2 linked regions of the Mytilus edulis genome follow. The protein of the gene in region 2 interacts with the protein of the main gene of each other region in a pairwise test. Links are inferred from orthologs where the notes say so. Each region holds a gene or a part of one and is shown on either strand. Other genes may lie near its edges.

Region 1 (17,643 bases), on a different chromosome or scaffold from region 2:
TACGCACATTAAAATTCAGTTCAAGAGAAGTCCGAGTCTGATGTGAGAAGATGTAACCAAAGAAAATAAACAAAATGACAATAATACATAAATAACAACAGACTACTAGCAGTTAACTGACATGCCAGCTCCAGACTTCAATTAAACTGACTGAAAGATTATGATTTCATCATATGAACATCAGGCACAATCCTTCCCGTTAGGGGTTTAGTATCATACCATCATAACATATATGAGAAGAACATAACCCGTGTCATGCCAACAACTGTTTTTAGAATAAATGTGTTTAGTTCCGATGCAAAGACCTTATCAGTGACTCAATATTAACGCCAAAATATGCAATCTTTAATGACTTGACAACAGTATCGTAATTATATCCCTTTTTAATAAGTCTATTCAAAGGTTTTGTAAGTTTCTGAGGTGAGTACTGACACCTTTGTGCTTTATAAAGAATATTTCCATAAAAAATTGGATGTGAAATACCTGAACGTACTAGAAGTCTGCATGTTAAGCTATATTTACGAATAATGTCTTTATACCGATGATAAAATTTAGTAAATGTTTTGACTAGTTTGTGATATCGAAAACCCTGGTGTAATAATTTTTCAGTAATACATAAAGGCTTTCATAGTCAAAATTTGTTTTGTAAGTGTTGAGTATATTATATTGTGTTATCCATATATAAATGCATTTGGATTAATACAAGGTCCTATGTATACAGGTGCAGATAAGTTCTATGACATCATCGAGTTGATGATTGGATACAGAATCAACAAGTGACTGTTTATATGTTGGAAGTTCATAACGCCAGCAATAACTTTGGTAAGCATAAAGGATTTGGTTACTATTTACTTTTACAAGTCAAACTATTATCGAAGAAATTCCAAAATGAATACAGCCTTATTGCTATGTTCTTTAGGTATTCGAAGCGACTATAATGATTAATACATTTTGTAATTGTACAAGATCAGAAATAACTATCAACACTTTTATTAAAATTAACAATATTGCAAACTGCTTAAATTGTACAGAAGTACAAACGATAATTCAGTCTGGCAACTGCAAGACGTCTTAATAATTGTGACATTAATTGACTTTTTTCAAGTATTCTCAAAGTTATATAATGTTGTAGGTATTAGTGGAAAGCTACCTTTAACATCATATAAGATGGAAAAATTAAATTATGTAATATGAATAATATATGTCATATTTTGTACCAGGTCATGATTTGAATGTTTTTCCTTTTAGGGTATATTGCTGTTTCAAATCATCAAATTCAAACCAATTAAGTACAATACAACAAATGTATACCCAGACTGGGCTCAAGCATTTGGAATTATGCTTGCAGCGGTATCTATTATATGCATTCCAACGTATAGTATCATTAAATTATTGAAAGCAGAAGGTTCTTTAACCGAGGTTCGTATACATATCATTTTCATATTGACCATTTCATTCATGTCTTAAATGGTAACACTTGATTGGCGAAGACCGTCTATACATTAAACGCTTTCTTTATTGTGTATGTGTGTTTCAGATAAGCATTACCATTGTTTGAATAATAAAATGCAGAATAAACATCATTCATAAGCTACTTATAAAACATAAGCTGTGGTATGGTTGCCAATGATACTCTCCACAAGGGAGACCAAATGACACAGAAATTAACAACCATATCGTGGGTAAAATCAAGTGCTGCGTAAGGGTCAGCATGTCCTGCTCCATTAGTGAGAATCGATATTATCGCAAGACATACGAAACTTTAACGACATACGGTATAGTAATAGAGCAGAAACTTGTACAATTTGGGGAAAAGTTTGCATTACATAAACTGAAATCATCTATTTAACTCAATATATTATAAGACTATCTTACATTGGAACACTATTGAACCCTTGTGTTCTTGTAATAAGAAAATTTACATATCAAAGGTCAAAGTTATCCATCCCCTATTTAATGTTTTATTCTACGAATATATTTTAAGAAAAGATCATGTGCCAAACAATTTTTAAAGGACTGTTTTTCTTCAAAATACCACATTTTCTTATTTTCCTCAATAAACTGGTCTCAATTTTTTTTTACCTTACTGGAAAAAGAGGGTATTTTAGTTCGGGGAAGTATTTTCGCCTTACCTACTGCTATCTGTCCAAGTCCTCCTCTAAACAAACAGATATGTACCGTTGACTTGAAATTGAATGTACTGACGATCAGCAGATGATATTTAAGTTCCTAATCGAATTTCTTTAATTTTAACTATTTATCTCTCAAAGGCTCAGAAGAAAAGAGCATGAACTGCTCATGAATTAAAAAGACAGTTTGGCGAGCCAAAAGGCTCAACAATGCTTCCATAGACTTATTGAAAAAGGCTTCTTGTAGTCCGGTACCGATTAACAAATCCTGCATGTGTCATATCTACCCTTGAACTATTGAGTGTTCAAATATCTAGCTATAGACCGTCACTTCCTATAAACCCAGAGACATTGACGTCTACATCTCAGAAGTGCATATCGACATCCGTACGGCAAAGACTGATAGGGACATTTTGTTGTTACATGTAACATTTTTTCTTTTCCAAGTTGACCGTGATTTCTGATGTGACAGACTTGATATATAGATAAAAGAAGATGTGGTATGAGTGCCAATGAGACAACTCTCCATCCAAGTCACAATTTGTAAAAGTAAACCATTATAGGTCAAAGTACAGCCTTCAACACGGAGCCTTGGCTCACACCGAACAGCAAGCTATAAAGGACCCCAAAAATGACTAGTGTAAAAACATTCAAACAGTAAAAACCAACGGTCTAATCTATATAAAAACGAGAAACGAGAAACACTTATGATCAACAAACGACAACCACTAAACATCAGGTTCCTGACTTAGGACATGTGCAAACAAATGCAGTTGGTTTAAACGCCGACCTTCACTCAACCTGAGACAATAATGTAACATCACAATATAGAAAGAATACTATAAAATATCAATTGAAATAGCTGAACTAAATCAAAAGACAAATGAACAAAAACAAGTGAACATACACTGAACGAATAAATTAACATGTTTAAGCAAATTTGAAGTATGACAAAAATGTATCTACTGAAAAATTTGGAATAAGCACTAAAAAATTTAGAATATATAGGTAACAATCGTCATAAAAATTTGATACATAAAAACTAAGAAATTCGTCAATTAGCACTAAAAAATAAAAGTACGAGGCTATGAGCCACTTTAAACATATTGAGACACCTATAATATATATATTTATCATATACTTAGACTAAATAACATATGATTTTTACCGTATGATAATAGCATTAAATTAAAGTATTTTCCATATTTTTCGAATTGGTGCTTAGCGGGCTGATATGAAAAGTTTATCACATGCTTCGATTGTTATCACATGCCTTTCCGTATTACGTTATCACATGGCATTCCGGTGATACTCGGCAAATTCCGGAAACTACACCTCAATGCTACATTTTCAGTGAAAAACATTACAAAGTAGTGAACAAAACAATTATTTGAATACTGGAAAGTATGTTGTGTAAAATAATTAAATTAAATTAAAAAAAAAAAAAAAAAAAAAATATTGAATAAATGCATTTTGAAGTTTTTCTGAAACATTATTTAGAAAGTTACTTTAAAAAAGTTGACTTTTCTAAACAATGTTCATTATGTATATTGTTGAATTATTTTTTTGTCGATTTGTCCATATTAACATGTTTTGTTTTTTTTCTCTGTTGAGGCATATGATAGAAAGATTTCATTTTGAATGAATCAAATTTTGGGTCCGACGTCCGTGAACTTTTTACTCTTTCAACTTCTTTTCGGGAACCACGTAGAAGGATAAATATGTGAATCTGTTATTTCCCTCTACTGTTGAAGCATATGATAAAAAGATCATAACATGTCATTTTTCATATCGCATGTATTATCAGCCCTCGGTCAATATCAGCCCTCGAGCCATGCGGCTCGAGGGCTGATAATACATGCGATATGAAAAATGCCATGTAATAATCTGATAATATAGAAGATCCGTGTGCTAATATAAAACTAAATAGAATGAAGCATAAGGATTTAACTGTAAACAAAGCGTTTGCAGCAAGCAAAAAATAAAAATATAATTATCGAAGCCAGACCAGAAAATTTTTGATGTGCTGAGCATAGATCCAAGCGGGAACCCATGTGGCAATCGCCTCTCTGAGTCTCCGCATAAATAGCTATGCGCAGAGCATTTAGATTAGATAGTGTGACAAAAAGCAAACGTGACCAGATTTTAACTATATGCAAGCTGAGCAACGGCAGTTCGAAACATTCAAGAACTGAAGCAAGATCTGAAAGAGACTTTTCAGTACTGAAATGGTTTGGCAAGCTATTCCAGAGTGAAGCAGCAGTAGTTTTGAATGATCTCTTATCGTATGTACTAGTTCTTGTGTGTGGTATGTCCAGGATGTTACTATACCTAGAATAGTATTTTGAGGTTCGTTATATTGACTAGATCACTCAAACACACTGTTGCCTTACTGTTAAAAATTTTGTAAGTTTCAAGTACCATTGTCTTGAATTCTCACCTGTAGAGTTGTCACCTTTATCACATGCAGAACGGTTTCATATGATCAGGTAAAATCACATACAAAACGGAGTGATCTCTCCAGCACTTTTCCTAACTTCTTGGAGTTGGTGTCCGTGCAGAAGTGCCACGCTCCTGAGTAGTCTCTATATATAGAGGACAACAATTCAAGTTTCTTAAAAATAAAAGTATGAAATATTGTGTTTTTTTAGTCTCGATAAAATAGACCCCAAGAATATTTAGTTGTTGTGACGTCTTTCTGCACGTCAAGCTGTTGATATGAGCATCAACTTTCAGATGATAATCGATATCAATAAGAAGCAGCTTGAAAGTTTCCTCACAAAAAAGAACATTTCCTTGGAATGGAAAGCGAGGATTATTTGCAAATGTTTCCTTTACGACGACAATAGCCCAACTTCGGTAGTGAATCGTAATCCTTGGCTAGCGAAGATGACAATAACCTGAAACTTGTCAGGATTGACCTACATTTTGTTAACATTGAACCTGTCAATAAGCACTCGAGAACCAGATGCTAGTGTATATATAAGTGAATTTAAACTGGACTGCCAAAAGACAATTGAGGTTTTATCATCAGCATAATTATGTAAAGAACTCACAAAGTAAAAATATCGTTTTTGAGGTACATCTTTCTGGATGTCAGCCCAACTACTCAGAACACCATTGACTTTAATTTGTTGTTTTCTGATAGCTAGAAAGATATGAATGCAAGAGGGATACTGAATGTGTAGATACACCATGAGGTAGTAAGTTGTCCAGTAAAATATATCTTTAGACACTTGCATGGCGATAATTAGATTTTAAAAGAGGAGAATTCTTTTTATGCAGCGATGTAACTTGATATTCTTTGAGTCTATCTGGAAAAACATCCACATCAATATACTAGTTTATAAGCCTTGTGTTGCGGGCTGATGTACAATCTAAGATATTTACTCTCCCTAACAATTTTTGCTGGTTTGCCGTCTGCGTCCGTTTCTTTTTAATGATGATCTTATTAAAAAAAAATCAAATGTATGTGATGTCACTCTTTGAAAACTGTAGTTCGAATCTGATGTCTCATTTACTCCAATATTTGCCTTTATCTCTAAGAGATGTACTGTAGTGTTGATCTTTTCCTATCTTCCTAGCAACAGTAATAAAAAAAAAAAAAAAATACTGGAAATTTCCACAGAATCATTTATGTTCCAAGTTGGAACTGAGAACTGCTATCTTGAAACTGGAAAATGTCAAGCTTTGCTTGACAAATGTTAACTTGAATGCAGAAAAATTACGTTGACGTGAGAAAGTCAAGTTGGAATAGGGAATGTCAACTTGGATCAACTTGGAACTGAGAAAGTAGATTGTTTAAACTTATAAAGCCCTGTTGTTGTAATTTCTTCAGGATTAAAACCAGAGAATATTCAAATAAAAGAAAATTAGTTAAAATATTAACGAATATTTACACGACAAAAAATTAAAACACAAACATATAATTATAATATATAATAGAAAAAAGGGGGGTCCATTCCCCAAGCGCCTGTGATTTATTTCGCAATACTATACGGACAAATAGGTAATAGTACTGCAACCAGAGTTCATTTTTTAAAACTTTAATGGTCCGGAAGAACACACACCTAAATTATATATCGATGGAAAGAGGAAAACGTGTATAATAAGAAAAGTTGGGTCGTAAAAATCCAGTGGTCATAATTTTGTGAAATTGAGGTCAAAGGTCAGACCTAAAAATATCAATATTTCAACCACAAGGACAAAAAGGAGAAATATTCTGATATTTATTCAATAGAATGCTACAAAAACGATTCAATCATAAGCATATGATATAAACGATGTTAAATCGACAAATTTGACTACTTATATGAAGAGCTGCCATTACAAAATGGCGTTGATTTGGAACCTTCTGATTTTTTTCCATTTAAGACATAACAAAAGAAGAAGTGGCCTTGACCTTTTCACATCCATAAACTTTCATATTGTGTATAGTATTTCACTATAGTATATTACAGAATTATTTTCTAAAGTTTAAAACACCACTTTATCAAATTATTTCAATATTTTTTCTATCTTTGAAAAAAACAAAATTCAAGCGCTGAAACAGTGTTTTTAATTTTGCATCTTAAAGGTTGTGTATTTTGTGAAAATTAGTATATAGTTATAGATAAATACATATTGTGTTTTTGCAAAGTCTGGACAGAGCAGTTATAACACAAAATATACTATAGTCACCCGAGGCGAATGCGAGGTCCCTTTTTTATAAGAACAAGTTAGGCGCAGGACAGAGTTTGTTCAAAGTAAACACAGTTTTTGAGTACAAATGCTATCTAGAGCGTAAATGCCGTCATGATTCGGTCAAACTCGTCAGATATAGTCTTACCTTTGCATAGGAAACACAAAAGAAATGTGAGTACAAAGTTTCGATCAATGTTCGTGACCCATATTTCCATATGCATATGCATGATGTATCTGTACTGCCAATCCCAAATGTAATGGGGCGAATGTTGCTACAGAAACGATTGATTTTGTAATAGCCATACGTTTACGAATTTTTGTTATCTTTAGGGACAATATACGGTTCAGAAGCGTCTTTGTGTTATTTTTCATCAATTAACTAACAAATGAACTTTTGAGCCTAGGCTCCGTGTTGAAGACCGGACCGTGACCTTTAATGGTAGCATTGGCACACATATAACATCTTCCTATATCTATTAACAAGCTATGCGAGCATCCTTTCCATAGAAATACCAAAACGAGGACATAGCTCATAAGAGCACTGGTGGCAGGGTGAAGTAATTGTTCTTCTTTTAATGTATCCTTGATATTTTCAGACACACCTTGGTGTAATTCTGAAAGTCTTAACATAGACTTCAATTTTCCTGCAGCAAAATGGCATCCCCTAAATTGAGTTCAGAGCTAAACTATATTTCATATCCCTTGGCCCCACTGTGTCTGAATTGTAAGGTGTCACAATATCTAGTTAGTTCTGGAGTTTGGCAGTTTGGTAAGCATCAGAGACAATTTTGGATAAAATTGATCGGTATATATAGAGGATGCGTGCTACATGAGAAAGGCTTTTTCTTATGGAAGAACAAATAACATCACTAACAATCGTTATTAATGAACTGACAGCAAGTTCAAATTCTAATTTTTCAGTAACTGTTTTACTTAATTGCACAGGTGTTGACTTCAATAAGTACTTGGTTATGCATGGATAAATGATTACTCACATTAATAAGCACAACTTAAAAGATTGTCAACACGTTTAAAGGACTCAGTTTTGCGTAGTTTTCTGGGGGTTTTTTAAAGGTTTTTCTTTTACACAAAAACCCTGTTTTCATATCCAAACTACAAGGAACAAACTGAGCGCGAGATCGTATAAAAGTGTCAGGTTGTGAGGATACATGTCGATTAGTTTGATCACATATATGGATTTCTGTTGTTTCTAATTTAAAGTTCCCCAAGGGTGACTGGGGAAACGACATATGGTCACTTGGTCTTCCTTCGACCGGCAGTAAAACGAAGTGGGGCGTCCGTTTGGCTGTGCGGGATGTTTCAAGTTCGCATTCACGTCCGGTCAGAATGGGGACGTTAAATCCGATGCCTCGTGTAAAGGGAGTGTCACGTTCTTTGCACGTTAAAAACCCTTGCATCAACTCTTTGAGGGGTCCGTACATGGCATGTTGCAATGGACAATTTCTGTCCCAATCCAATATACCATCATTTTCCATTGGCAGTCTAAATTTTCCCGATCATCATCCCGAATGGCCTCTATTATGACAAAACCTACCTATTGTTTTTATTGTTAACTTGTTCTCATCCTGAACATGCATGAAATATTTGCCACTGGACGTTAAGCAACCAACAATCAATCAATCAATCTAATTTAAAGATGCACACCAAGTTTGCCTTCTGGTACAAGTTTCATAACATCACTGATGATTCGCCCACGGAAAGCAGAATATCAAGAGAAGTTGGTTTTAGCATCACCTTGTCACACACCAAATCTCTGCGAAACTTCAATAGTACTTTTTCCCCCGACCACTTGCATGCATATTAATTGCTCTGAGGTTTAATAAACATTGACATTTTCACACAATGTCAACTATAGTCATTATCCGGAAAAACCTCTTATCTGAAGGATTTGGTTAACTTTTATATAAAGTCAAAATTTTATTAACAAAAATATAACTTTTTTACAGAAAATACACGAAAGAACTACTATATATATTAAAATCACTCAAAAATAAATTAACTTCTCCTACAAAATCTACATAATCACATCGAAACTATCAAATTGATTGTGAAGGAAAAAATAAATGGTGGAGCAGATTGACGGATAGGAAGTTTCCGTAATTAAAAAAGGTACAAATGATGTTTTTATTTTTGAGTTTTTGACAAAATTGTTTGGTATTTGCCCAACAAAATTTGCATGCAGTATCGCAATAATATGTTTTGTTCTCTCAAATGTCAAATACTGTTTTTGAATCACATGTTTTCTCGTTTTCAAAGAAAAACGCGGTAAATTTCTATCTAAAAAATCAGCCAACTTTAAGTTTGAAAGTTTTACATGGAGATGGTATTATATTTATGTCTTCATCATTCCGATGATCCTTGATGATATGTGCATAGAAAATATTTCCGAAAATAGCGGGAAAGTTAACCAAAAAATATATTTTTGGATTTTAAGGTAACTACCCAAAACCGTAAATTGAGGGGTACCCCCATTAAAGGGATAAAATACAAAAATGTGACCATAGAAACTTTTTACAACCCCACGGAAATTAAAATATAGATATTATTCTATCATTTAAAACAATTTGCAGCCGTGTGTTATTCCGGACCATTAAACTCGGTAACTAAGCGTCTTTTTCGATGTCAGTTGCAGTACTAAACTCCTGCCCACAAATAAACGTTTAAATTTCTTACACCATCAACATGATCAATCTTTGTCATAAAATCTAAAAGATTTCCACTTTCATACAGTCTACAGCTATTTTATGCTGCGTTCATACGTAATTCGAATTCGATTTGCATTAACTAATTCTAATTAGTTTAATTCGCATTCGAAACGTTTTACGTCCAAACGTAAATTCTAATTCGAATTGCAATGCGCGTCAAATTTGCTTTACTGTCCGAACGACGTTTACTTTAAAAAAAAAAACCGGATTTCTATTGCAATTTGGTTAATGCGAATTAGCCAATTCCAATCAATTCGAATTGAAAAGGAAGAGTGTGTGAACGCGATTAGCGAATCCGATTCGCATTCAATTCGAATTAAATGTACGTGTGAACTAGGCCTTAACATTTCCTGTGACTAGGTAGTTCTTAACCGATTCGCGGGAAAAGGGAGATAATAAAGTGCTTAACCACATTTATATTTTCAACTTTTTGGAGGAAAGCTATCATCTGACAGACATCATTATCATTGAGAAAGATCTCGGAAATGAATGCTGACGAGTCGAAGCCATTCGAACCAAAAAGGTATTTATTTATATTTAATATTGATGTTATTTGGCTCGACTGAACGCAGCAGCTAAACAAAAATGTGTACTAGATACTAGTCAGATAAGGTTCATGTGGACCCTATGGCTAAAATGGCCGTTTTTTCACACCAAAATTTACTCTGAGTACAGGCAAACCTGTGCATCTGGGAAAGTTTTAAGGCATAGCATGCCCTAGATATAAAGAATTCAAATGCAATGTATGATTTAGAAAATTCATAACTTAACTGGATTTTGCCGCACACTTTTTTTCGTCCCTGCAGAAGATGATAAAATTAACAAACAGTTGAGTTTACCTTGATATGGTCCACTCAGATACACAGTTTAAATAATTTAAATAACCAATTATTGTCAGGTATCTATTGTCCATCTCATGTCCATGTCAAGCAATACAGCTCACTTAAATTATTACCTGTGGGGAAGTTCTCAAACCTGTTTCCCAACTTAGTTTATTTTGACACCTTCTGGAGGAATGAAAAAAAGTGCACGGCAAAATCCTGGTAAGTTTTTATTTTTCTAAAACATAAAACATATTTGAAATTTATTTATCTAGGGCATGCTATGCCTGAAATTGTTTACAGATGCGCAGGTTTGTCTGTACTCAGAGTAAATTTTGAGGTGAAAATACGGCTATTTTAGCCATAGGGTCCACATAAACCTTAATCAGGTTGGACACAAACCACCAACAGACCAAATGGGGAACTATTCCCCAAATGAGTAACAATCCCTCATTTGACACTCATTACACACAACAGGACACAGGTCGGTCATCTTAAAGTAAAGAGATCACATGTTATCTCAACTCCAGTAACAGAGGATTAAGGTTCATCATAAGGAATTGAAAAATATGGCCGTGTTAACACCTCCAAAATTACTGAGTACAGACAAACTGGTACATCCAGGAAAGTTTTAAGGCATGGCAGGAACTAGATATATAAAAGTTATATGAAGTCTACGTTTCAGAAAATTAAAAACTTACCTGGATTTTGATGTTCATTTTTTTCCAGTCTGCAGAAGATAGCAAAATAAACAAACACCCGAGTTTCATTTGATACGGTCCACTCAGTTACACAGTTTAAACCTGTTAAATCACCTATTGTTTACAGGTGTCTATTGTCCATCTATTGTCCATTTAAATCAATACTACTCACAACATTGATTATATGAGGGGAGCTTCTCAATCGTTTTCACTACTTAGTTAATTTTTGCACCTTCTGCAGGAAAGAAAAAAAATGGATAGCAAAATCTAGAAAAGTTTATAATTTTCTGAAACATAAAATGCATTTAAATTTTTTATATCTAGTTCCTGCCATCCCTTAAAACTGTTGCAGGTGTATAGGTAAGTCTGTACTCAGAGTAAAATTTGGGGTGTAAATACGGCCATTTTAGCCAAAAGGTTATGATGAACCTTAAGGAGAGCTGGACATTTTTTCAACACATGTGCTAATGAATTGTGAAATGAATTATCTCATTGGCAATCATATGCCACATCCAATTTTAATACTTCTGCAGATAGACCATGTAGACCAGACATGATTAAATGAGGTAGCCAAGTCTATGATTGCATAAATTATTTGCTGTTCTTTATCTTAGAACTGAACAGTATACAGAGGGGCCTGATGGGTTATTTTCGTTCTTCATGATAGGCGCATCTATCATGTGTATATAAGCTCTATATTCATGTACAAAAATATATATGGATAGTCGACCTTCCCATGGATAGAAACAAGTACCCTTGGTTGAAATGCAACAATCATGTATGATATTATTATGATATTTTCACACAAAATTAATTATAGTTCTCTCCCTTTGTCCAGTTTGCACAGCCCACAATGAAATTCAACATGTGAGATGTGAAAATTATCATAGGCGGAAGACTGGAGTGGGCCCGCTTTAGGTCAGTCAGCGGGCCCCCCCCCCCCCCCTTAAGAAAAGTTCTTGATCCGCCACTGATTATTATAGATTTATATATTCAAAAGTAATTTGTACTATAATTTTATTTGATAAGAAAGATTTCTTCTTCTGACATACATGTGTAGTGGTATTTGATAATCAGTCTTTTGTTGCCATGTTATTTTTACTTAGTTAATTTGCTTCAGCTGGGATTTTTCAGAATTTAAGAAAAATTTCGGCTAAATTTTATTTTTCTCTACCAACCCTATTTCTTCAACTCGCAATTCTTCACATTTATTAAAGGTATTATGAAAGGAATTTCTATCTAACTTTCAAAAAAAATTTGAGAAGGAAGTCCTATAAACACATGACCTTTTTAGTTTGGCTTAATGATAAATAGGTTTTACTTAAATTGTTGGCAAAAACGTTGGTGCTAATTTTGGAGGGTTGGACAAAGGCTTACAGTCTGTTTGTTTGATGCTGGCAGGTATATGGATCCCTGAAATTTACAGGAAGATTGCACATATATGTTTGTTGAAGTTGTGTGTCTTATATAATGGAATTGATTGAGTTTTTTTCTCAATTTTCCAGACTTTGGAACTTATTCCTTTTTCAACAAAATTTATGTAAGAGGATACAAGTTGTCAACTTCTACAGTTTTCAACCAAGATCCCTAAGACTTTACAGAAGATTACACACATGTTAAACAGGTTGAGAACTCTAGATTTTCTGACGTCAGAATATATTTGCATAGTAATTTCCAAAACACAAGGCCAATATGGCCTTGAAAAACTGACCAATCGACTAAATGAACTACAATGCATTGTGGGCTACTACGAGTAAACTACTACTTAAAACACGTGGAATTAGTGGGAAAACAGTCAATTAATATATTGTCTGGGACTCTCATTACCAAAGTTTTTATTCTGCAAATATATTTAATGTAAAATATGTAACGTAATCTTCAATTTGCATGCTCAGATTAAAAAAATATTGTTTATTGGCTTCACGATTTGACTTTCGCCTTGCAAAAGTAGTTGAACCGGTTTTGTGCATTGCTATGAATTGAACCTGCATTAATTTCACGACATGACACAGTGAAATATCCAATGAAGTGACCGCTGTCCAGTAAGAAAATCATTTGAGCTCTTTTAAACCTGTATAATGTCATTGCAAAATCATTTTTGCCTAGAAAAACACGAAACTTTCATTGAAACACTTCTTTCTGTACTGAATGTGTATATTTTTTATCAGGACCTGAACTAATAGTAAGAACATCATAATACTCAGTATGCTAAAAAGAAGTGTTATGAAAGCGGCAGGGGCGGGTCCAGCCATTTTAAAAAGGGGGTCCTAACCCTGGACAAAAGGGGAGGGGGTTCCAACTACATGTCCCCATCCAAAAGCACCGATCGTCCAAAAAAAGGGGGGTCCATCCCCCGGAACCCCCCGCCCCCTGGATCCGCCACTGAGCGGGTACGGTATACAGCTCAATACATTTTTTATAGTTTCATCCATCGATAATATCCGTTTGTTGCTAATTTTATCACAAAATATACCTCAGAGGTTTTTTTTATCGTTCGGCTGCTGTCCTATTGACATATGTAAAATATCTCCAATATTAAAAGTCTCTGGATCATAGTGGGTGCCATATTACCTATTTTTTCTTCTTCTAAAACGTGCTTTGTATATAGAAATAAGAAGATGAGGTATGAGTGCCAAATGAGACATCTTTCCAACAAAGACATAATTTAGTAAAGTAAGCAGTCATAGGTCCAATGCTGAAAAGTAAGCTATTAATGACCCAAAAATTACTTGTGTAAAACAATCCAAACAAACAAAAAAACAAACAAAAAAACGGCCCCATTAAATATTAAAAGGACAAGAAATCTATCCCATCAAAAAAATATATTGTATAGGAGCCTGTATTTCAGTGGTTGTCGTTTGTTTATGTGTTACATATTTGTTTTTTGTTCATTTTTTTATATAATTAATGCCGTTAGTTTTCTCGTTTGAATTGTTTTACATTGTCATATCGGGGACTTTTATAGCTGACTATGCGATATGGGCTTTGCTCATTGTTAAAGGCCGTACGGTGATCTATAAATGTTAATTGCTGTATCATTTTGGTCTCTTGTGGACAGCTGTCTCATTGACAATCATACCACATCTTCTTTTTTATTATAGATCCAACGCTGCAATTTTCACAAAACATATCAAATTTTCCACCTTGTCGCACATACATATGGATAAAATCATTACAGCTTATTTCCTAATGCATGTGGAGCAAAACTTTGGTTAGCTTGCTTGCTTTGTTTGTATATTGTACAAAATATAAAATATACAAGTTAAACTATTCCTATATATATATATTGTTTAAAGATGTCAATCTTATTTTCAAAGCTTGTATAAACAACTATACAAACAAAGCAAGCAAGCCAACCAAAGTTTTACTTTGCAGGTTTAAGAAATCAGCTGAAATGATTTTATTCAGTTTGGCAAATGTCCGAGCCCGTTAAAAAACGAACAAACTGAAACTACAGTTACTGACTTCGCTACCTTCAAAAAAAGGGAACAGTTTGGAAGTTCCATATACTGAAATGTGACCAACAAAAATACTTGTAAATATTTCTTCGCCTTTTTTACGAACACAAAATTCAAGGATCCCACATTTGCCTTTAATTATCTATACGAACATTGCTGTACTCTTGAATATCAGCACCGGCTGTTATCGACGGCTTACTTTACACCAGTAAGTTTGTCTCATGGGTAGTTGTGTTTTTTCGCTGTTGTTTCGTTGCCTCTGGTGGACAAATACATGAAATCTCTGTGCCATCATCAAACATGTTAATGGCTATATATCGGATAATTCAAACCCTTTTTTCTTCGCATAGAAACAACTCTTCGTTAATCTGAGCATGGAAGTAATACTTTATATCACGAACTATAAATGAGGATACACAAAATGAAAAACTAAGCGAAATTGTGAATCCCGCATTGCACGAAAAAATGTGTTGTATTTCAGTAAATAACACGTGTTCTTGGTTGATTGTAAACACGTAGTAGTCCATCATGCATTGTGACTCATTTAGTGGATTGGTCAAAAACCTAGGTAAAAATAAATTGCGTCACATGTAAATAAACAATTACATGTGCGAGAACATAAGTATGCTAATTTATGCATTTCTATATAAGGTAGTGGTCCCGACCTGTTAAAGTTGAGCAAATGCTGGCTAAAAAATAGAACATAGGGGAAAAATGCAGTTTTTGACTTATAAATATCTCTGAAACTTAAGCAAAAGTATAACGGTTGCATTATTTCATGCATCAATTGTAAATAAAAATATCAGGTGAGCGACACAGGCTTCTTGGAGACTCTAGTTTTTTCTCTCCCCCAATTTATATGATTGAAAGTCTAAAAGTTTTTCTGTCAGCATCATGACTTTGTTGACTATTTTTAAATGTATATTAATGTCACAGACAAAATTCACTAGAAAGGTGGAAAAAAATCAAAAACAATTACGTGTCATAAATAAACATTCTTATAAATGAGTATAAATTTCAATGTATTTAGACATTTTAAATTGCACAATTCATATTATAATATTTTTCATGTCAAAAACTTTTATTTGATTTTTAAATATATGTTGTTATAGATATCATAAAGAACATGAAGAAGGGAGAAAAACTATTCCAATTCTTGCATAATTATCAAAATTTGTGAGAACTGGAAGCTGCCAAATAAAATTCACAGACATAGTTTAATGTATTTAATGCATGCCTATCACCTGAGCCTATCACATGATTTTTTTTCTGCAATAAATTTAATTCAATTAAAGAGAGAATTAAACAAAAGTTATAAATATTATTTAGCTGGTTTGGCATTAAGTGTTAGATATTTTTACCATTGCACATGGTGCATATGTTTTCAATTAGATCAAATTAACCAGTACCTACATTGTATATAACCTATTAAATATCTAAGCTTTTTGCCAAGTTATATTAATAATTTCATAAGATATATAAGTCATATGGCACATGAGATTAATGTTAATTGAGATAACTGTGCCTTTTTTTCACAAAAACAACCAATATTTTTAATACTGATCATGAGAATGTAAAATTAAGTTTGAAAACTATTGGAGCCGATTTTATTATTTTAAAGTTGATAACAATTTGAGAATGTTAAAGATAAATTATAACTAATGGTTGTTCTTGTTATGTTTCGTTTTAATAAAAATCAACTTTTCAGGTTTTTCGGTCCATGCTGAATTAAATTCTTATAGCCACAATTCAATTTACCCAAAAAAAATGTCATGTTACTACATCTAATAACTGCAAGATTATAATTTACGACTTATTTTTCTGGCAGTCATTTTGAAACTGTCTTTACTATTGAATTAAAATAAACCATGCTGGCCAGAAAACACATTATTATGGCATGATATTGTTGTCTCTTTGACTCGTTCCCCATTTCCATTCTCAATTTTAATGAATGTAAATACATAATTTCCTTTGTTTAGGGGTCGGGCCATAAAAAAGATTATTTTTGTTTGCCCTAACCCTACCTACTCGAAAAATAGCTGCCTATCTCTTCAATCTTTTATTGGCCTGATGTGAAAAAGTTTTTTTTAATCAGATAAGCATGAAGACTAAAATCATTTGACTCTTTGTTGAAAAAATGCCTACCTGCTTCCCTACCTACCCACGGTTTCAACCTTTGGGTAGGGTTTGGACAAACCAAAATATTTTTCAGTGTGGCCCCAGCTGAACCCCGGAGCGTCCATGTATGAGATTTTCTTGTTGTGTTGAAAACTCATCGGTGGCCTTGGGCAGTTTTCTGCTCTTTGGTCAGTGTGCTGTCATTTTGACCAATTCCCCATTCCACTCTTAATTTTATATGAGGGTTTTGAGATTATATGACAACATCATTCATGTATAGTATAGTAATATGATGCAATCTTATTCCATTTCTTAGAGTCTTTTTTACTTAATTTATCAAACAGTGTACTTAATAATATTCTCATTAAGTAATTCAAAAGATGTGTTGAAAACCACTACCTGTATTATTTTCCTAATTTATATGAAAAGTCCTTTGATTAATTAGATAGATAAAGGCAGATGTGGTGTGAGTGCCAATGAGACAACTCTTTGATTAATTGACTACTTCAAACATTTATAAAATGTCAAAGTTCAAATTTTTCAAGTATTGAACCATTTGTGTGAACTTGAAATAAAGTTTACAATATTAGTAACAACAGATACAGATACAGGTCTGCTTCGATATTTTAGTATGACTTACAATATAGAAGAGAGGGCCATTTTGCAACTGAAGTGTAAGGCAAAAAGGAAAAATATTTTAGTGTTATTAATCGCATTCAAGCTTCATTCCAGAACCACCTGAAAGAGGAATTTGAAATTGACAATTTGTTTTATGGCACGTATATGTTACTCTCAGTTAATTACAAATAACTTATATTGTTGCAGTGTTGGATCAAAGGGAAGGGATTTTTATTCCCCCTTTATTTCTATCTCTTTAAATTTATATGATTGAAAATCGAAAAAAATGGGTCATAATCATAACTTTGTTGACTTTTTTATAATGTATGATTATGTCACAGAGACATTATTTCCTAAAAAAGTTGGAAAAATTGAAAATGTTTATATCA
Region 2 (17,214 bases):
ATAAATTATATTGTTTTCAAATTGAAAGAATATCTAAACTACACCACCTGACACTTGTTTTTAGCATGTGTAATGTGTAGAAACTTGATAAATTAAAAGAAGTTTTGTATGACCATTTCAAATAAAAATCCATAAATGATGATGCATGATGAAAGTCTTCAGGCCCTCACAATATAAAAAAGTTGATCATGGGAAAGGATGTAATTTTCAGGTTATAATCAAGAGGATTCATAAAAGATAAATGTATTGTTTAGTTTCCTTTAGCAAGCAACTTACTGATTCTTCTAACTGTTGTTTTTCTCCCCATATGTTAGCTATCAGGAGTGTATTACAATTTCCACCAATAGAATCTTTGAGACAATGTGTTAGTTTGGACTGACGGAACGGAATATGCTCTCTACGCCTATCTGCCAATGCTACAATGACTTGTTCCAAAAATGTCAATGATTTATTAATGTACATTGCCTCTTGTTGTGTTTTTCCATCAGACTGAAAAATAACAATTACTTATTAAACATGTAAAAATATAATATTGAAAAAATTGAAGAAAACTTACTCTTTCATTCATTTTATAAATATTTAAAACTTTTCATTTTTTATTCCTTCAAATTCTGTATATACAGGTCCTTCTGTTTGCAACTATTTCAAGAGCAAATATACATTAAACTATTTCAAATGTCACTCCTGGTAAATAAAATTAAACCTATAGTATGAAGCAATTTTATAATAGAATTTAATTTTTCATTTTTCATTTTTTAATTTTATACGTCAGTACTGATTTTATCAGCTGGAATATCAGACTGACTGTTCCAGAATCCTTGCTGATAAAGTATTTAAAAATGGCATTTTCTATATACATGTCTCAGACCACAGTTTTATACAATAAATTTCAAAAAATTATAATTAAATGCTTAGCATACATTTCTAATAAATCACAAAATTAATTTTGATATAATCAATATTAAAGGGAGATAATTCAACAAACCTTAGTTTTACTCAATCTTTCAGATCCAGCCAAATCAACAAAATTCAATTTAGAAACTGTATATCTAGCATTGGACTGCACTCTTGATCTTGTCTGTAAATAAAAGTTAAACATTCATAAAATAAAAACGATTCCAAATTTCTGCTATATAAGCAAACTACAATGATAAGAAAAGTATGTCTGAATGTTGAATATTTATTTCTGTATTCTTAAATTTTATATAGGCATTTTATTTTTACCCATATTCTTTGTTTTAGCATATTATTCTCCATTTTTTATAAACAAATCCAGTCCCTCAAAAAAGCAGCTCATCAAAGACAGTAATGTAATAAAAGGCATCAAGTTCATTCATTTCTTACAGGGGCGGATCCAGTCATTTTAAAAAGGGGGGTTCCTAACCCAGGACAAAGGGGGGTTCCAACTACATGTCCCCTTTCAAAGGCATTGATCGTCGAAAAAAAGGGGGGGTTCCAACCCCCGGAACCCCCCCTCTGGATCCGCGCCTGTGTTATACCTTTATGTTAAAAATAATCAAATTATATCCAATAGAGTCAGTCATATAGATATCATATATAAAGCCTGTATAAAAACAGATATATAGATATTGAATTTTTACACCTTAGTCTAAGACATTAGATCTAGATAGTGTATTAATGCAACATCAACAATGTTCAGCTCAGCTTAGAAAATGGAACAAGACATTTATGTGCACAAAGTTTTTCAGAATTGTTTCACCTAAAGAGTTATTTGTTTCTTTCCTATTGTAAAACTGAAACAAAATGCTAGTAATGTTATGGATATGCAGGCTAAACTATGTGGGCTAGACCATGTGATTAGATTCACAAAATTTTACGACTAAAGTTGATTTTGGCATACTGATACGTTTATAGCTCAACAGTTCTATGATATTTTAATATTTAGGACAGTCTGTAATCATAAAAAGTAGTTAGCTACATAGTAGCCTTCAAAGATTAATATATAGGCGTATCATGCGCTTAGCAGTTGCTATATATTATGGTATACAATTGTCCGTCGTAATGAAGTTCTGGAATAACACAACTATCATACTTCTTATCTAAACACTTTATGAAGTATCAATTTTACAGGACGCTTACAATTTTTTCTTTATCACTTTAATATAATTGATAGTAAAGTTGACAGATTTCTAAGATAATTACTTAATGATGCTTAAAATAGGTTTTTTATGATCATTATTGATGTTTGATTTAATTTAAAATAAAATTTGTAAACCAAGCCAAAAGAAGGGGACATCACTCTAAACACATAATTTTATTTCTTTCAACTGTTTCTGCATAAAAGATAAATCAGAATTTATACTTTTCATGCATTTTTACAAATTTCAAATGATTTACACCAGAAAAACATGAAAAACGAGAAAGATTTCTGAAATAATTTTAACATGATGAGTTCTTAGTAAAGCTGAATGCTACAATATCCCAAATTTAGATTACAAATTATATTATAAAAAGGACCTGAAATAATTTTCTGCTACTAGGATTTCGACAAACAGCTCAGAATGAAGCATATCAAGACTTTGTTCAAACGTAACCTGGAGATCCCCTCCTATCAAAAGTAGCTGCATCATGACATTGAAAAGACAACAACATTTTTTTGGGGATGTAAAAAAAAGGGGGGATTTTGAAACAAATCTAGCTTACCTCAATATACAGAGTAAATATACAGTGAGACCTAGAGGACTGTGCATTCAGTGAATGGGCTGCTATAGCTCTGTTAGTTTCTCCCTGAAAACATAGTAAGTTAAATTATTTCTGCTCCTCTAGCAATACTAAATGTAGATAAATTAACTCATAAAAAATCCAAATATTGAAAAGAACATAACAAGTAAACTACACATTAATTCATGAATGTGCATGAGTTTCAATATTTGGATTCTTTCACTAGTTAATACTTTTTATCACATTGACCATAGAATTTTTAATAGAAATTTATAAAAAAAGTATAAAATATATTGCATTTAGGAACTACATCTTTTTTTAAACTTTATCCTATATTTCGTTCACACACATAGTTATATGACATCTGAGAAGTCAAATTATTAGATTTATTTCACATGAGAAATTATAGTTTTTATTCACACTAGTAAATCATCCTATCCATTAATTTCAACTCAATTTCATATCAAAAATCATTTTTTATAAACTCATGGTAATATACATGCAGTCATACTGAATGTAAATAAAAGATATACTTTTTTCTAAGATGCTCAACAAATAATTAAGTATTAACGTACAAACAAATCATCTACCAAATATGGATAGAAATGAAAGTATATTTTTTAGGATAGATATTAACCTCAAACAAGTAATTGAGAGCCTCTTCTTCATTCTGTGTGAGATGACAAGACAATCCTTTAACATAGACTCCATATTGATTCTCAGCTACTGACATTGACCCACCATTTTCCTGATTAATGGCTTCTGGCAGTGTTGCTAACAAATCTACCATAGACTCATTGTAGATTTCCAAGTAGGAAACTCTGTAAAAACAAAAAGCAAAAATCTTAAAAAGTGAATGTGGTGGTTAAAATATGAGCTGCTATTAAGTTACTAGGTAACATTTACATATCTATGGTTGGTTTACATTTATAGTTTAACAATATTCTTTTTCAGTTCCCCTTATAAACCATTGGACCACTGTAGATATTTTACAAAGCTTTTTTCATCTTGGTGTAGTACAACAAAGAAGCTAGGCAAAAATCATCAACATACTAACAATTTTACGGATGAACATCAAATTTTTATATGTATTCCATTAGAGCATTATCAGTATTCTTATATCAAAATACACATAGGTTTTTTTTCATCTTTGTGTATACAACGAAAAAAGTACGGCAAAAATATTCAAGTTTCAACATACTAGAAATTTTACAGTAGGACATCACATTTTGTGAGTATTCAATATGAAAATGTTGAAAGGAGATCTTCTTATATCAAGATACCCATATACATACATTCAATAACTAATATTACAAACACTTTTATACTGAAACAATATTAACCATATACAGTGAAACCTGTTTAAACCGAACCTCATCGGGACTTAGGATTTTGTTCGGTTTTGGCCGATGTTCATTTTCATCAGGTTCACAACGCACATAATTTGATATGACGTTGCTTACAAACATGTTTGGTTTATCCAGGTTTTTCGGTTTATACAGGATTCGGTTTAGTCAGGTTTCACTGTATATTAATAATATGGCAATGGATGTTCTGTCTTATTGTCATTTACTCTAATCTGAAATAGTTCTTTATGATAGCTATGGTTTTGGTTTGAAACCTCATATTTTTTCTTCCTGGTGATAAAATTTCGAAAAGAATTAACCATCTTGATAAAATTTGGTTAAAGATATAAAGCTCAGCTCTAAATATTATGTTTTTATGAGAGCGTACCTGACAGTGATAGAATATTCAGGTCTTTCCTCTATTTCCCTGAACAGCTGTGATATGGACCTAGGCAGAATTCCTCTCTGTTTATAGCTTTCAGTAGCACCAGTTATTGTGAATGTTTTTCCAGCTCCTGTCTGTCCATAACACATCATTGTTCCTGAAAAATTAAATATATTTTTTCTTTTTAAGTAGGTTGTGTGCACTGGAATATCTTATCTTTTATTTTGCATTACAGTTATAATTGTGCACTCAATGATACTTATATAGTTATTAGAAGAACAGCAATAATAATAATCCTGTTTAGTGTTACTTGTATACATTTTAATTTATGATGTACATTGTACAAAGATTTGTATTTCCCTTAATTTCAGGAAATTAATATTTATCTTCCCCCAAATCACATCTTTTGTTAAATAAGTGCTTTAAAAAAACTCAAATAAATTGACTTAAAGTTTCAGAGTAAAAGTAAAGAATGGTACTAAGGGATGTGGGATCAAATGATTAGGAGTCAATTTCACAAAAATAGCTTTTTTTGTGAAACCTGCTCCACCAGTTAGAATAAGAAAACCTTCAGAATCTAGATTTATGTAAATGTTCTATCAAATTTCTTTCAGTCCAATTAAGCCACTTTTAAACTGTTTCAAATATTCATTCAAATTAGAAGAGCATCAGATTCAATAAAATTTAAAATACTTACCATTGTAACCATCCAGAGCAGAAGTTACAATATCTGCAGCCACTGTGTCAAAGACATGGTCCTGGCTAGCATTATGAAAGATACCATCCAGTCTAAAGGACCAGTCTAGAATCTGGTTATTGACAACTCCCTTCGCAGACTCTTTCTTCTGGTGTACATTTACACTCTGTTAAACAGAAATTTATTTTGAAATCAACAAGAAGATATGAAAATAAATTTTAGTAAAAACAGACATTGATTTACAAAAATCGAACCAGTGTTGATAGTTATATTATGTCGATTAAAATTTTGTAAGGGTTCCATGGAACCCAGTGTCTCGCCTACTTTTGCTGTTAATCACAGGCTCAACAAAAATGAGGAAAAAAATCAATAAAATTATTCCTGTTGATACTATCTTTTGATCGTAAAAAGCTTCTGTCCAAGTTTGGTAAAAATCCAAGATAGTTTATGAATCTAATAAATGTTTTAAAAACCTTAACTGCAGACTGTATGAAATGTTAACTGGAAGAAAAACTAAGTCCATTTATAAACTTGTAAAATACAGATACACAGGTACCAAATTTTAACAAAATTTCCTTCTAGATACTAACTTGTTTTCCTTCTAGATACCAAGTTTGGTACAAATCCAAAATGGTATAGAAAAGTTATTAAATTTTTTTTAAACTTTAACCACAGAGTGAATGTGTTGTTTCCTGGCAGAAAATCTAAATCAAATTTAAAAGTAAAAACACTGATAAAATTGAAATTTATTTTTACAAAATTTACTTCTAGATACTTTCTTATGATCATAAACAAGCTTCTGTCCACGTTTGTTAGAAATCCAGTATAGTTTAAGAAAGTTATTAAAATTTTAAAAACCTTAACCACAGAGTGAATATTTGTGGACGCCGTCGACGGAATGTAGGATCGCTATGTCTCGCTTTTTCTACTAAAGTCGAAGGCTCAACAAAAATGTGGCCAAAATAATGACAGAAAGAATATGCAGTAAATAAGAAAATTTATCATTTATATATTTTGCAGAAAAGCTTTTTTTTGACATTTTTGTAAGAATTGTGTAACTTTATGTTTATTTTTTTTTAAACCTAAGAAAACTGATATATCATTGCCCATGTAAACTTTAACCCAGCTTTTAATAATTCACAAAAAAATTACCATTTAACCAAATTCATGTTGATCTGTACATGTATAGGATTGATTCTAAAGAGTTTTAAGACTAATTTAGACATCAGTTTTTCAAGACTGGTCTATCTTACCTTTCCATCAGGGACTAGTTCTATATGTTCTGTATCAAAATTAGCGGTTGGTCTTACTCTACACCATACTTTAACACGTTGGTTCTTACTCGGTTTCTTTTCCGGTCTGCTGTAGGTGCTCAAACCTGAGGTCCCTCGACTATACATCCTGTCAACTTATCTAGAAAAAGAGTTTATTTGCAATGTATATAAACTTTTAGCCATACATTGTAATTATTTAAAAGACTTTTTAAGCAATACACAACAAAGGTCAAGATCAAATGGATTAATTGTTAAATGCCACTCTCTCCAATATTGACTTTTTCACTGTTTATTGTGACTGTCACTTTTTGGAGGAAGTCAGCTAGAGAGAGTGCTCTCTAAGACTTGATGGAAGACCAGGACCTTCAAAAGTCAGTTCTACAATATTTTCCATATCATGGCTTTTAAAGCCTGTTATGAGGTCACACTTAAAAATATTTTGGTTTGCCCAAACTCAAACCAAACATTGAGACAGTGGGTAGGTAGGAAGGTATATTTTTTTTTTGGCAAAGAGAAATTAAAGTATCAGATGTCTATTAGTCTTCATGCCTATTTGAATGAAAAAAAATATTACCACCAGGTCAATAAAGATTTTGAGTAGGCAGCTACTTTCTGGGTAGGTAGGGTTAGGGCAAACAAACCCATTCTTTTTATGGCCTGAACTTATAGCTTTTTTACAGAACAAACACAAGTTTCATTGCTAGCATCCTCTTTTTACCTAGGCTTTCTTTGTGTCTGATATAGCCAGGGTTTCCGCTGGCTGTCGCCATTTTCGCAATTTGCCAAACGGGCACCTATTTTTCTTTTGAAGAAATTTACCCAAAGAACTGTACATCTTTCTTGTATAATATATGGTCAAAACATGTCCAAGAATTTTGTTATATTATGGGACTGATATCTTCATTATTATCAAAAGTAGGTGGCCCCTCTATTAGAAAAGTTGTTCAAAATACATATATAAAGAATTTTCACCCTTTTAAAAAAAGTTCCGTTTTTTTAATAGTAAATCATACTAAATGTTAGAAAGTTAATTCATTACAATTTAACTGTAAACAATGTAGACTCAAAGATAAGTTTGAGAGAATAATCATAGACAACGATGGGGCAAACTCATCTTTTTTAGGGGGGAATTAAACGAAAAATATAATGTTACTTGGCGAAAAAATTAACAAAGTGGTAAAAAATATATTGGTTTGGCGTCAAAGAGGTGGCGAAAAAAATAATTGACCCAGGGGAAACACTGGATATAGCCAAGATGAGGGCCCTCATGGGGTTTTTGATTAAGTGATTACTTGGCCGTTTTTTTAATGATTATTTGATTATTAAGCCAAATATTTCATGATTATTTGATTACCTAGGACTGTATTTTTAGTTTATGATTATTTGATTACTAAAGATAAGCAAATATTTAATGATTATGTGATTATATTGGCAAAAAAATGGTGATTATGTGATTACTAGAACCCCCCCATGAGGGGCCTCCAAGATCAACCATCACCATGTGTCTTCACAACTTCAAGTTTTTATTGAAGTAATCAAGACATGAATTTTTTATTCAAGTAATCAAGACATGAATGTGTGGCGGACAACCAATTAAGAACTATAACCTAACACATTTATTTCTCATCTCAGTTTCCATTACCCTTCTTATGACAAAAACAAATGAAATGGAAAAGAAACAGAAGTAGTGACTTCTGAGTTTTGCTAATTTTCATAAATTACACACATGAACTTATCAAAATTTCCTCCCCCTTTTTTAACTGGTTACTTATCTTCAAATTCAGGGACATTAGTCCCTGAATTGGGTGATTTTTTTGTGTAATCAAAAGTTTGTTAATATATTCGGCTGAAGAGACTTACCTGTTATTTCATAAATGTAGTTTTAACGGTGATTATAAATTTGCCCCACACTTTGTTGACAGGTTGTTAGGAACTTAGCGCATGCGCAGAAAGGAAGCTCTCGCGGGTCTCACTAATTAGCGACAACAAGCGTCAAGAAGCGACAACAAGCGTCAACAAGCGACAAGAAGCGACAACAAGAATTATTTTAGCGACAACAAGAGACAAGAAGACTATTTAGCGACAAGAAAACATTTTTTTTTTTATTAGATATAAAGAAATTTGTATTTAATGGGTTTTTTTTTTTAAATATACGAGCAGATATGTCTAATTAAAATGTTTTATTATATTGGTAGATGAAGAAATTTAACATTGTGAAGAAGAAAGAGATTGAGCTTCTTTTTTTTATTTTCAAATATGAAGAATATGTATAAGATAATGCACGGGGGGGGGGGGGGGGGGGTAACTTCCTATTATTGGGTATACGGGGATGTGCCAAAAATATGAGTCATAATTTTGCGAGATTTTATATAAAAATGACCCTCCTTTTTAATGACATCCTGCATTTACGTTTGATAATTGTATATTGATTTGGGGTATGATCTACATATCATATATAAATATGCTATTGATATGTGCACCAAACGATGTCAATTCATATATAAAAACTTAAGGGTAGCTGGTATATTTATGAATTATGAGTGATGATGAGTTAGTGCTTATATAAGCATGGGTCATATTTTAAAGATTGTATATATATATAAGTATATGCCATTCTTTCTTAAATATTTATATAACTATAGGTACTGAATTTCAGTGAATGTTATATTAAAATGGGTACGTTTTTTGAGACAAAAATGGCACACCCCTACCAAAAAAATATCGAAGTTACCCCCCCCCCCCGTGAGATAATGTATGTATCTGTTTTCATCAAAGTCAAAGTATGAATAAACGAATGGCGATATATATGGAGCGGGCATAATGGAATATAATATTTTGATTCTAACAGTATAATTCATTATAATATGTAGAGACAACAACATCTAGGTTACCGCAAGGTGATAGTTTTATTGAGTCGACATGTTTCGCCGCTAATGCGGCATCATCAGGACAATATTACAGAGTTTACATGTTCATAAAGTGTATATAATGCGGTTGTATTAATTATGACGTAAAAGAATAAAAGTGAAAGTGAAAATGTAAAACAGTGTTCATGATGTAGCAAGAATAAAAGTTAAAAATAGAAATAAAAACAAATGTTTATCTTGACTGGTATGTTCCGTAGTCACTGTGATTGAGGTTCATATATAAATAGAAAGTGAAAGTGAAATTAAAATAAGAATCTAGTATAGTTAAAAGTGAAAGTTAGTCAATAAAGTTATTAAAAAGTGAAAGTTAGTCAATAAAGTTATTAACGATGTGGTTAGCTGCTATTCTTGCACGTCTGTGTAGAGGTCCTCATAGTGGTTTATAAAATGTCAGTTCATTTCCAAATAGGACAACACCCCATTGGCCATCCCGTACCAATTCAACTGGATCGCTCCGAGGGAGGTACTGCTTCCATTGAGGTAGTAAAGGGTGAAGTGTATGATTGCCGCAATTTTGGGAATTGTAAATCTTGGTAGATATGTTCATAAAAATTAACTTTGATAATAAAATGTCCGTGGATCAGGCTTTTCTTTGTAAATTAGGTTTGTGGTTTATGTGGTTCATCCTGGTTCTGGTTCCTTCCCTTTTTCTTTAAGTAAAATGCCTGGTATTCCGAATTACTTTGACTTTGTGTACTTAGGTATGCTGCGGATGAATTTAATGTTCAATTTCCGTAAGGTTCTAAAGTGGGCTAAGTTTTTCTCTTGGATGGTTATCGTAGTAGGAGCGGGTGCGGTTGCGGGTGCGGTTGTATTATCTTCCATATCTTCGTCGCGGGTTTTTCTTTTCTTCGAGGTATGGGCTGTTTCTTCAGTGAGGTTGGTGGTAGAATGGAACTGGTCGGTAGACATGAGGCTGACGGTTGTAACTACAACGCAGGACGGCTAAGGTGGATCGTGTGCGGATGCAGGGGTTCACAGAAAAATAAATAATTTGTGACGAGTGAACCAACACCTTATAATTCATTGTTTTAAAAAACAAATTATAAGATAAATAATATGTTCTAAACAAAGGAAAAGCAAGGATTTGTATAGTACTATACAAATCCTTGGGAAAAGTAATCTCATAATACAATAATTAAACGTAATACTGGCTGTTATTCATAATAGATGATAAAATATTATGTAAATAATGTCATTTTTTTCTATCAATTTTAATTTTCTTGTCGCTAAAATTATTTTCTTTTGCATATTCTTTTAATATTTATTGCAATAATTTATTTTAATTAAAAAAAATGTTTTGTTGTCGCTAAATAGTTTCTTGTCGCTTGTTGTCGCTAAAATAATTCTTGTTGTCGCTTCTTGTCGCTTGTTGACGCTTGTTGTCGCTAAAATTGTTGTTGTCGCTAATTAGTGAGACCGGCTCTCGCAATTTCTCGCGTGAGTTCAAACCAAAACAACAAATGGTTGATGTCCCTTGAATTTCAGATCCTGAAGGTATTACATGTACAAATTCATCCAAAAGAGATATGTTTATGCTATGACAGTAGAGCAATAGATAGATATGTTTGTTTTCTAAAAAGAATTTCCAATATGAAAATCATGACAGTTATGGAAATTTTCGAAGTTCACGCACTGCTTACTGACTTTATTTATAATTTAGTCTTTGAAACGATTGAACAAGTTCATGTGTTCATGTTGATATTTGTTTTCAGTTTGGGCTTTTCTTATGCGTTAGTTGTAACCAAGATCCTTTCTTTTTTGAGATGTCTGGAAATTTATTATGAGGGTGGTAAAGGGTTATTTTCCTGCAACGATGTTTTGCCTATATGTTATGTGCAGCCGTGAAAAATGTTTGTTTTTCAAGTGTTTCGTGAAATTGGTAAAAAGATCAATGTACAAGAGATTTTGAATTATTCGTTCATTGTGAAATGGCAATTTTCTTTCACGTTTTTCTTTGCAGGTACAACCCTCTATTATCGTCGTGTCATATGTTTTCGTATGTCGTATGTTTTTGTATCATCAATATTTCATCGGTTTTGATTTCACACGCGTATGTTGTGGCGGGTTATTCAGTTTCTATATTTGGAACAACAACAACACTACAATTTGACATCTTTAAAACATATTCAAAGTCGTTTTAAAAGACGCTAGAACAAATTTAATAAAACTGACCAGATTAGCCATTTTTATTCAATGCCAAAAATATGGCACACTAGAATAGTTGTTTAGCAATATTCTGAGGAGCCTCAGGAGTTACATGAAGTATAGCTATATCGTCTGCCTGCCCGACATCGGATCTTCAAGACATGTGACTTTCATGTGTTTTTTTGGTCATTTTTATTACAAACAAGCGCGTTAAAATTATCATGGTTCGAGTTCTTATATAAAATGGCTGTTCAAAATCCATTTATTCAATATTTTATTGACAATTCTTTTTATACATCCTTGATACATGAAGATGAAAACAGTCTTAACTTTTTACATTAAGTAAACCCTAAATTTTAAAAACTGCATTTTGTTTTCAAAAAAAATAATGTCCTTTTTAGAAACCAAGTGTCAATCGGAAATAAATAAAAATGTAACAATTTCAGTATATGAAACACCAACCTAAAACTATTTACTATTTATTACTAGTACTGAAAAGTATTGAATAACCTTTATTATGATTCAAGCGATCACCAGAACCACGACTTTAGAAAATACTAATTTCTGGATTATATAGTCATTTCCTGTCCCTGAACTGATCCAATTTTTAATTCATACGAAAACATATGACGCCGTTATTTTGACAAACGAAAATCGCAAAGTAATCGGAAACGGCTAAAAATCGTAGAAAGCCTTCACAAAAAAAAATAGATACCTCAAATCATTCGATAGGACATGCTTATCAAATTTGAGTAAACACCTGAATAAAAACTCAACAGTGAAAACCGTAAGCAGTGAAAATTGTTATTAGTACGAAAACACATCACATGATAATATCTATTGAATTATGAGCAACACGACAGTCCCAACTATTTGAACAGGATATGTTTACACTTCCAGAAGTTGACACTTGATATCATCATTAGTTATGATGTAAAGATTGAATTAAATGGTGCTGACTAAAGGGGGTTCGCGGGTCTAAATCATTTATATCGGATTTCTCTATATTTTTCAATAAATGAACTTTATCTTATAGTTAATAGAAAAATAAAATTAAAAAATGTGGTCACCCTTCATTTGCGCTCACAATCTGCCTTCCAAAGAAGCATACATCTTTGTAGAAGCGTTTTTTTTTCTGTTGAACTGAGAAATAAAGGTAATATCGAAATAAAAAAAAAGTTTATTACAGAAATCGCTCAAATTTTACAATAATTAGGGTCCCGCCAAAGGCGGTCCCCTATAGTGATCAGTCTGTCCGTCCGTCCGTAACACTTTGTGTCCGCTCCATATCTAGAGAACCATTATGATTTCATACTTTATACTTTACATGTTTATTAACCACCACCAGAGGGCGTGTCATGATGTATGTGCAACTTCCTAGGTCAAAGGTCAAGGTAAAAAAACTTTGGTTTCAGTTGACAACCCTTTGTCCTGTGGTGAAGATCGTGTCCGCTCTATATCTTGAGAACCGTTATGATTTCAAAGTTTATACTTGACATGTACATGAACCAACACCAGAGGGTGTGTCATAATTTATGAACGACTGCCTAGGGCAAAGTTCAAGGTCAAAAACTTTTGTTTCAGTTGACAACCCCATGTCCTATGGTAAAGATTGTGTCCGCTCTATATCTTGAGAACCGTTATCATTTCAAAGTTTATACTTGACATGTATATAAACCAACACCAAAGGGTGTGTCATAATTTATGTGCAACTTCCTAGGTCAAAGGTCCATGTCAAAAACTTTGGTTTCAGTTGACAACCCCATGTCCTATGGTAAAGATCGTGTCCGCTCTATATCTTGAGAACCTTTATCATTTCAAAGTTTATGCTTGACATGTTTATAAACCAACACCAAAGGGTGTGTCATTATTTATTTACAACTTCATAGGTCAAAGGTCAAGGTCAAAAACTTTGATTTCAGTTGACAAACCCATGTCCTATGGTAAAGATACAATTTTTTAATGCACATTATTCACAGCGGCGCCCACAGAGATGGCTCCCATCTCAATGATATCTAGTTTAGTTTAAGTAGAGCATATATCGAAATTATATTAAAAAATAAAGGTCACCGATGAGTTAAAAGAGATATGGACCATAATTTGCTATTGGGCTCCGTTTCCTATAACTATAGAAAAGTGATAAAATGTGAATTACTGTAAGAAAAGTTGCAACTACATCTAAAGATGCTATTATTTTTATCAACATACAAGTGTATGCTACTCTTCCCTAGAAAAAAAATTAAAATATACGAATTTCAAAGATTCTACAACCGTATTTTTGTGTCGTTTCTCGCGTTATTTTTTGCTTCCGAAGAGCATAACGCTGACTGATTTATAGGTAATCGTCACCGGCAAATTCGTAACTTTTGCTTTCAAATAACAAAGAACATCGACCAATAAGAATAGTGAGAAGAAAATGCCGAGAACTATAAGTATTTATGTAGCAGATGTAAGAACAGTGGCGTGATTTTTGTGTCCGATTTCGTAACGCAATTTTTAGATGATGTAATCTGCTTTGTTGTAATAGAATTCTTAAAAACAATATGCAAATATGAACTCTCGCGAGATGTTCAAACAGGTAAATCCGAGATGATTTACATTCTTGTTTTGATCTTCGTAATAATTGAGTAAGAAAATTACGTTATCGTTATGCGTTACATTTCACACGAAACAGAAGTCCAGTTATTTATCAAAATTGTTTTTGTCCTTAAGTTCTAATCATTTCCAGTCATACGTGAAACATGTGACTAACATGTGATAACGCCATTCTGGCCGGATGTACGAAATACTAGGTCTAAACATTGTTTTTGTTTCCAACGGGATGTTAGCAAACTTAATCTGTAGACTTGTTTCGTCTTGTTTAAAAGAGGAAAATACAATTGTCAAAGAGATTGCGCCGATGGTCTGTTATTTTTCCTATGTGCATAATGTTACATACGATCCTGTGTGAAAATAAATGCCCAATGACTTGACAAAATCGATTTCATATTTGACAGACGTTAGAACACACTTCGTTTCCCGATAATGACGTGAAGAGTCCTTGGAAAAATCAATCGAAATTACGTCTCTTATCATTGTACCAATGCTCTTTGGATTGATTTAACTTCAGCAGTAAATATTACTGGATATTTTAGGTGAATAAATATAATTTAATAAAAAATACATGTTAATATACCGTTACACTTGGAATGTACAAAGTTGGAATCTTTGTCACAGTTTTTAATTAATATTTTTTATTCATGTTCTGCAAACACTTATCAGAAACGCAATAAACTTGTCAAAGGAGAAGTAAACTTTTACCATGCATGACTTGAAAGGAAGTACTTTATTGATTTTAGCCCACTAAAGTAGGTTAAAATGTGGAAACCATGTAGATGGTGGACAGGTCACAAGTATCACATTGTGCCTATTTTAAAGATTTTAATTCCAAGTTAAAAGTTTTTTTCTTTACTGGATTTAAAGAATGTTACATTGCCAATGATTTGGAATAAATTGTATATAACTGGAATATCAAAACCAAATATAAATACATTTTTTTGGCTTAAACATCAAGATACAACGATTATGGTATCTTGTATCAATGAAGAAAATATGGAAAATTCTGAATAAATTGTACTAATTGTTTTCAAAACAAGCACATATTTAGGAGTTTTATAATACTGTTACATTTAAGATGGATTTTAAGAAAAAGTATACTGTTCAGATTATTTTAAGCAGATTTTGCAATAAAATAAAACTAAAAAAATGCTTTCGGTTTCTTATGGTTTCCTGTCAGGTTTTAAAAAAACTTTAATATAACATTGAAAATAGATTTTAAATATTAACATGAAGCAAGTAACACTAGTAATGGTGTTTATTTATGCCTTTTGAATTATATTGTGCAAAATAAAGAAAATAAAGATTGGTTTCCTGTTTGGTTTCATGTCACGTAAACGGTGAATCAAAATGTATTAATTTTTTCTCGAAAAACTCAATTGTTCCATTCATACTATTCTAACACCAACACAACCCACAAAATAAAAGTTAAAATTTTAGAACTTATAAAAAAGGATACAAAAAGAAACCAAAGGCCGAATACCAAATTATGGTCCATATTTCAATTTTAAAGCCAAAAAATGGCATTTTTCCACCAAAGGGAGATAATTTGGAACTTTTTCAATGATGGGTCAACACGAATTAATTGTTTTGAATGTTATGTACCATATGATAAAGTAACAACTACAAAACATGCAAAAGGTAATAAATAAAATTTGTAATGAAAAACAAATGTTTAATTTTTTTCTGAAATTTTTATACCCTCGAGCCTCCTTAAGATGACAATACATTTGTAGCTTGTAATGACATAATATCAGTGAAACGAAAGAAATTTGATTAAATTCAACAAAAATAAGACACAATTTACGTTTTCCCAAGCATCTAAATCACCTCCAGTTATGCTCAGAATACAGGATTTTAAGTCTAAAATGCTCCCCCTAGCAAGTTCAGCCGGCTTTGCCGCCTTTAACCAGTGATAGTGAAATAAAGTGGGCTATTAACATGATTAACTTGTTGCCTGGGCTAACTGATTTTCAAGTCCAGTAGCCGAGCTACAAGTTAATTTTGACCCCTGGAGATACATGTAAACAAAATGTAGTGCAATGATCATTGCGAAATATTTATCAATGAAATATATGCTCATATGGTATGGGCTTTGCTCATTGTTGAAGGCCGTACAGTGACCTATAGTATGATAGTTGTTAATGTCTGTGTCATTTTGGTCTCTTGTGGACAGTTGTCTCATTGGCAATCATACCACATCTTCTTTTTTATATCAGACATTCAAGTTTCAAAATGATGTTACATATATATCTGTAACTTCTGTAAGGTGCAGGAATCTACATTTACATGTCATATCTGTTCTAAAAATATCAATGATGTCATTGTTAAGTAATCTTTCAAATTAGAGTTATCTTCCTTTCTCCAGAATTGTAGATGAATCACTTACTACCGATGCTTTACAAAGGGGGGAAAGGACCTTTATCAGGACTCCAGGATCGAGTGTTTTTAAGCTTGGGATATCGGGATTGACCCTTTTGGGATCTGGGAATTCTTTTTATGAATTTTCGGGATGTCAGGATTAAATTTATTTAAATTTGGGATCTCCTGATTTTGTATTTTAAAGCCCAGGATTTCGGGATCAGGACCCCTCCTACACCCCTCTTTATACAATGCATTGTTCAATTTTAATTCCCACTGGTTAATTCAAGCAATCTTTACCATCCAGTGCTTACCAGCACTTTAATGATATAAAAAATAATAATCTTTTGATATTCTTCTGATATAAATTTATTAAAAAAAAAACCAAGATCATCTTTACATTCATGAAATACTTGCCACTGGATGCAAAACAAACTGTAATCAATCAATAAAATAACCAGATGAATTTTTAAATTTCTTTTTAACTGGGAATATTTCAAGAGTTATTAGTTTATTTAAGGTTACTGTATAAATATATGAATCAGGATATAAATACCAATTTTACCTGTAGAAATACATGTAATACATTATCATTTCAATGTGATGAAGAAAATCAACAATCCAGGATAAAAATAATCATAATAAAATTTCAGTAAGATTTTTTTTTAAACTTTTATCATGTTTATCATGTTTATGTTACTATTATAATGTATTTGCAGTTATGAAGATATATTATTATAATTCTTACATGTATGTACAAATGTGTAATCATTTTACTTTGAATAATCATGATAATTTC

What was found.
Region 1: the proteins of kinesin-like protein KIF9 (region 2) and protein arginine N-methyltransferase 6-like interact in a two-hybrid assay, tested with the Homo sapiens proteins (2 studies listed by BioGRID and IntAct). The link is inferred for Mytilus edulis from reciprocal best matches to the Homo sapiens genes KIF9 and PRMT6.

What each region holds. Positions count from the first base shown.
Region 1 is NC_092344.1:70,734,041-70,751,683, forward strand, and holds the start of protein arginine N-methyltransferase 6-like, read left to right. Parts: upstream 1-9,916; 5' UTR 9,917-10,023; coding exon 10,024-10,061; intron 10,062-17,643. UniProt on the Homo sapiens protein: Arginine methyltransferase that can catalyze the formation of both omega-N monomethylarginine (MMA) and asymmetrical dimethylarginine (aDMA), with a strong preference for the formation of aDMA.
Region 2 is NC_092357.1:41,447,813-41,465,026, forward strand, and holds the start of kinesin-like protein KIF9, read right to left. Parts: upstream 8,343-17,214; 5' UTR 8,245-8,342; intron 6,524-8,244; 5' UTR 6,511-6,523; coding exon 6,364-6,510; intron 5,277-6,363; coding exon 5,111-5,276; intron 4,571-5,110; coding exon 4,417-4,570; intron 3,504-4,416; coding exon 3,320-3,503; intron 2,749-3,319; coding exon 2,665-2,748; intron 1,079-2,664; coding exon 986-1,078; intron 490-985; coding exon 277-489; intron 1-276. UniProt on the Homo sapiens protein: Essential for normal male fertility and for progressive motility of spermatozoa.